Regions from separate parts of the Mus musculus genome. Here region 2 is reported to be linked to region 1. The links are microRNA targets in miRTarBase. Many come from high-throughput screens and were not tested one by one. Region 1 holds a microRNA gene; the other region holds the end of a gene's coding sequence.

The links. The annotated mature microRNA mmu-let-7a-5p reads UGAGGUAGUAGGUUGUAUAGUU and lies in region 1 at 1,928-1,949, opposite strand. An mRNA with a match to its seed (bases 2 to 7 or 8) in the 3' UTR can be bound and repressed. Matches are read on the target gene's strand: a 7mer-m8 pairs with bases 2 to 8, a 7mer-A1 pairs with bases 2 to 7 and ends in A, and an 8mer does both.
Region 2: miRTarBase lists Il13 as a target of mmu-let-7a-5p. Seed matches in the 3' UTR shown: 8mer at 2,364-2,371.

Annotation. Positions count from the first base shown.
Region 1 is chr13:48,536,312-48,539,440 of GRCm38, forward strand. Mirlet7a-1 (microRNA let7a-1) reads right to left here and starts at 1,961; the gene lies at 1,868-1,961. Mirlet7f-1 (microRNA let7f-1) reads right to left here and starts at 1,606; the gene lies at 1,518-1,606.
Region 2 is chr11:53,629,246-53,632,321 of GRCm38, forward strand. Il13 (interleukin 13) reads right to left here. Exons shown (of 4, transcript NM_008355.3): 4 at 2,078-2,915. The coding sequence ends at 2,820. Among named protein-coding and RNA genes, the nearest start is that of Il13, 3.9 kb to the right of the region's middle.

The DNA of each region.
Region 1 (3,129 bases):
TTTAATCAGAGGATTAAAAAAGAAACCAACAATCTCTAACACTCAGCCCACTGTATATTTTATTTAAAACAATTATCAAAACTTCAAATATCAACTCTCATAAAATGGCCTCTTGGTAACCAGAAAATTACTTATCAAGTCAAACAAATGAGCCTAAAGCTTTTGCCATTTACTGGCCACATACTTCTCACTTATAACTAGCATCTCCATTATTTCAATTTTTGATGCCTGAATTAAAACAGAAGCAAATTCAGGTCATGACTTTTACCACTGGCAAAGACCAGTTTTAAGTGATTCTATCACTTTGCATAGTCACTTCAGTGGTTTTACAAAATACACCAGTTCTACAAATTCCATCTATTTGGTATAATAAGGATGTTAGTCCTCATGCAATTCATAACTAAAATATAAATAATCATCCCCAGGCCTCAGTAAAGGATGTTACAAAACTGCAAACTGGTAGATAGCCATGCTGGAGGAATAAGGGGTCACAAAATTCCTTGGCTACTTGCAATACATTCAACAGGTAGGTTATGCAGTCAACTTAAGAAAAAGCCAAAAAGCAAAAAGATTAAGCCAAAAAGAATCTTAAACATTTCTCCTTTTCTTTGGCATTAAATAAGACGTATATATTCCCCACCTGTTCCTCTATGTGGTCAATGTTTTGTATGTAACAAACACCAAATTTTCCAAAGTGTCCACCTACACAAGATTATTAAATAAAAAGTTTACATTTGGTTCAGGATATATCACTTGACCTGAGCTTATCCAAAGGAGTTTTATTCATGAAAAGATCATACTGACTATACCAATGCACTGAACTATAGTTAGATATAACTGCCCTTGCTTCCACGTTTTGCCTTTCCCCCTCTCTTTACTACAGCAAACAGTTAAAACCTAGAGCTTTTGGCCTTGCTTAGAAGGTCCAACAGATAGTTTGAGCACTAGAAAAAGCTGAAACATGAGCCCATCAACACTGCTAACATTCAAGTCACCTTTTAAAATACCCCTCTCATATTTTCTTTAAAGCTACCAATTATGGGCTTTGTCAAACCGAGTTTTGGGTGACTCCTTTGTCTTGTGGGTAAAATTGAGGCCTTAGGAGAACTAAGACAGAAGCCAGAGCCCCTCTTTCCTGTGTCTGTCCAAATCAATATACCAGTGAAGTAATATTAATACTCAGAGCATTTTAAGTATGATAATAAAATAACCAGATTTCAATTTAGTCCAGCAGTACCCTTCCAGTTGGTATGCCCATTTACCTGTGACATCTTTCTCTGGGCATGTGTAACAGAAATATAAAACTATACATCTATTAATAATCCCAAAAGGCCTGGTCCTAGATACTTACTTTTCTCATTCAGATATTTGTCCAAATTTCTTTAAACATGAACACTAAAAATGTTATAACAATGTTTATTGCACTGAGGAAATGAACTGTAAAATAAAACAAAAGGTCAGAATTCACCTATGTTTTATAATATCCTCTAGATAAAAACAATGCAGCAAGTCTACTCCTCAGGGAAGGCAATAGATTGTATAGTTATCTCCTAAACAGGGTAAAATCACTACCCCACAACTATACAATCTACTACCTCACTCTGATAGAGCAAGTTTTTCTTCTGGAATAAGCATCAGTCTCTTTCAAGAAAGGTTAACATTAAATCATCATCATCAATCAAAATTAAATCTTCATTTACATTGACACAGAATGCAAAGTAAGTAAAAACTTGCCCATTCCCATCATCTACTTGTTAAATTAAAAAGCATGCATAGCATAAGCAAATGCTTTTAAGGCAAGATATACTTTAAAACACTGCAGTTTGTTCTTGGTTTCCTATGAGACCCCATGAATGCAGACTTTTCCATCACCTTAGGAAAGACAGTAGATTGTATAGTTATCTCCCAGTGGTGGGTGTGACCCTAAAACTATACAACCTACTACCTCATCCCACAGTGAAGAGAACATCCAGGGTGAATGTTGAAAGTAATCACAGCTGAGCATCACAGGAAGCCGTTCTCCTTTGTAATTCCGGTTTCCTGTGTAATGAGGGAAAAGAAAATATTAGATTTTCACTACTTTAACTTGAACATGAAGTTTAACTGAACAGTTACATATATGACCTATATTGTAGTTTCATTGTATTATATGATACACCTGGGCTATAAGCCTCTAATTCAATATGTTATAAGATCTAGAAATTACATTCTTACCACTGTCTAATACTGAAGCTTAAATGTCCCCAATCCAAAAACCTAGTTCCCAGAGTACCAGTATGAAATGACCAAATGAAAGTTTATAGCTGGTGTGTGATATCGTAGCCAAAATTATGGGCACATTAAATATACGTGAAATTATCAAAGAGTAGGAAAAGATGTTCATGAGACAAATGAATTATGTAGTGACCTAATAGTAAAGATTACAAAGATAAGCAAGAACATATTGATTCAATGTCATGTAAGTTACAGTTCAAAAAATAAAGCCATATTCAAGGTCAACAGATTTTCATTAAGAGCACCAGGGAGGTTGGGACAAGAGGACTGCTGTAAATTTGAGGCCAAACCAAGCTACAAAATTAAAACCCAATCTCAAAAAACAAAAACCAGGCAAGAGGTATTTACCAGAGCTGAGACAGCTACTGATCTAGAAGCAGAGACGATATGGCTCATAAACACAAATACCCAATAAGTACAGGAAAGATCTAAATTATCATTCTTTAGTCATTATGAATATACCTATCCAAAACAGGACAACACACATCCATTAAAGCTATCCATCAAAAAAGGTAATGAGGACTAGAGATATATATTCAGGGAATAAGGTTGCCTATCGCCAAGCCTGAAAGACGTAAATTCAATCTTCAGGATCCACATGGTGAGGAGAGCTGATTTTCACAAGTCATCCTCTGACTACCACACACAAACATTTCTAAGATATTAGTAAGCTCTAGCAAGGATGTACACAAACTAGAATCTCATAGACTGTTGTTGAGAATAGTGAAAAGGCAAAGCTACTTTTAAGTTTAATAATTCACTAAGAATTTGAGCCATCATCAAATACAAGTTTAAGTTAGTATTGGACTCAAGTTAGTGATCCTGAAATAGTATATCTAAATCCCCCGTGCCCAG
Region 2 (3,076 bases), not on the chromosome of region 1:
GGATAACACCCAAGGTTGTCCTCTAGCTTATCTACACGAGTGCGCACGCACACACACACACACACACACACACACACATGTATACACATGCACACAGTCACACACACATGCACACTCACACATGCACATACATGTACATACATGGGTACACACACATACACACACACACTCATACACACATGTATATATATATGCATACACAGTCACACACACATACACACACACACTCATACACACATGTATATGTATATGCATACACAGTCACACACACATGCACACTCACACATGCACATACATGTACATACATGGGCGCACACACATACACATTTCACCCTTTTTTAAAAATAGCAAAGCAAGCTGGTCAGTGTGGCGCACATCTTTAATATCAGCACTGGGGAGGTAGAGGCAGGTGAATACGAGTTTGAGGCCAGCCTGGTCTACATATCAAGTCTCAGAATAGGCAGGGCCACAGAGAGAAACTCTTGTCTCAAAAAAAACCAAAAACCAAAAAACAAACAAACAAAAAAAACCCCAAGAAAACAAAAAAACAAAACAAAAAAAACCCAAAACAACAACAAAAGCAAAAAACCAACAAAAAATGGTCCATTTAATCTTTGATTTTAGACCATGGGTAGAGAAGGAGGAGAGAAGGCCACTGCTCACCCCGAACTCTCCAGCAGGGCTCCCAGCAGGAAAGATGGAGGAGACATCCTCTTCCCTGCCTTTGTAAGTTCTGTCTGGCACCATGTCCTTCAGTACTCAATCTGGGTGGCCGGTGCTGTGCCAGCACAGATAGTCCTCAGAAAAGGTGACCTCTCTGGCAGGACTGGAAGCCAGTCCTGCCCTGCTATCCATATTCCCTTTCTTGCAGAGTAGCTGGCTCTGGGCGCTATTGCTTGGTCTCTTCTGCCTCTCTTCTTTGTCAGCTGTGAGGCAGGAAGGGGAGACTATTCCCCATGCGTTGGCTAAGTTGCTGCCATGTCATCTGGTGTTGCTGGGTTGACATGCAACTTTGAGTACTGGAATCTCAGATCTGGCCTGTTCCAGGAGGGCTCCTGCTGTCATTCAGAGTTTGAGCGGTCCCTGACCCCCACCCCACGCCTGCCACACAAGTTTCCTGCCCTTCTCAGTGGCTTTCCGCTCTGGGCAGCACCTCCCAAGGATGCCACCAGACATCATGTTAGCTAGCGCTTACTGATGCAGCCGTTCCCAACACTCCAGCTTGCGGGCCAGCAAGGGAGAGGCAGGCCACCTGCTCTGAGGTGCTGTCTTCCATGTCTGTCTACCCTAGTCCCCACATGTATCTGGTCCATCCCAGCGTACAAAACTGAACAGTTTGTCCTTAGAAAGTAAGTGGTGAATGTCTCATCACCAGGGGACATCCAAACAGGCAGTATACTGGAAAGAGCCATGCATTTAGGCGGGTGACTTTTGAAAGAGGAGGCAGAATGTAGCCTTTATTTCCTCCCAGTACATGCCTTGGACGAGCCTCCTGCCCGCATCATGCCTCGGGCTCTTTTTGTTGATGTTGTTGTTTTGTTTTTTTGTTTTGTGGTGACAGGGTTTCTCTGTGTATCCCTGGCTGTCCTGGAACTCACTCTGTAGACCAAGCTGGCCTCGAACTCAGAAATCCGCCTGCATCTGTATCTGCATCTGCTGGGATTAAAGGCGTGTGCTACCACTGCCTGGCTCAGTCAGTGCTCCTAACCACTGAGCCATCTCTCCAGCCCATGCCTCGGGCTCTTATGTGCCCTCCTAGGGTGGCAAGGGAGACCTGAGACTGTGTGGGTGGTACAGACAAAGCTGGCCAGTCATCAGGAGATACCCAAGAGGTTCCCCGCTTGCCCCAGACATTTCCTGGCCCAAGCTCCCCCGGATCCCCCACAGTAGACAGGGGGCGTGTCTCCTCGGTCGGCCACAGACCAGAGGACTTACTCTCTCTCAGCCCAGGTCCTGCTCATCACTCCTCCTATCTCTCCTTTGAGCAGCCTACCCCACACTGGGCTCCTCAGTTTGGAGCCCACAGAGCAGCATCCCCCAGGGCCCCCCAAAAAAAGACAGCCAAAGCAGGCAGGCCTATCTGTCACCATCTTTATTTCCGGTTTCTAGTTTGACAGTCAATGAAAAGTTTGTTCAGTGACAAACCCACCACCCTCCCCCCATTCACTACACATCACCTTGAGTGTAACAGGCCATTCTTCCATATATTATTAACTCTTTGCTAAGCTATTTAATACTTTAAATATAAGAACAAAACAATAAGTTATTTCATGGCTGAGGGCTGGTTGCTGCCGTGGCAGACAGGAGTGTTGCTCTGGCCTCCCCTCCCATCTCCTGCCTGGGGTGAGACCTGGAGGCTACAGTGAGGTAGCAGAGTTATGTATACAGTAATATTGCCAGGGACCCCAGAGCCCACTGCTTCAATGCTGGAGCCCCCAGGGCATAGGCAGCAAACCATGTCCCCACCGGGATACTGACAGACTCATTTAAATAACACACAACCATAATAAATAAGATCAAGAAGAAATGTGCTCAAGCTGCTGCCTGCCTCAGTTGCCCTGTGTGGACCAGGCCACAGGCTGGACTCACGGTCTTGCTGCAGTTTTCTGTAGGGATGGGATGGGGCGGCGGGGGTGGGGGTGGGGTGGGGGTGTTGCCAGGCTGAGACCCTGAGCACTAGGCAGGCAGTGCAGGCTGAGGCCAAAGCTGAGGCATCTCCCTTCCTCCTCAACCCTCCTCCCTGCCTCTCCCCAGCAAAGTCTGATGTGAGAAAGGAAAATGAGTCCACAGCTGAGATGCCCAGGGATGGTCTCTCCTCATTAGAAGGGGCCGTGGCGAAACAGTTGCTTTGTGTAGCTGAGCAGTTTTGTTATAAAGTGGGCTACTTCGATTTTGGTATCGGGGAGGCTGGAGACCTGTGAAACGGCAGAGAAGCCCATCCATTAGAGGGACGCCAAGGTCAAGAACAGTTGGCATTCAGCAGGGGCTTTCCAGGGACAGGCCCTTACGATGCTACCAAAAGTCCCTGCCAGGTGGCTTCTGGCTCTGCCTCTACTTTACAACTGTGAATACTGAG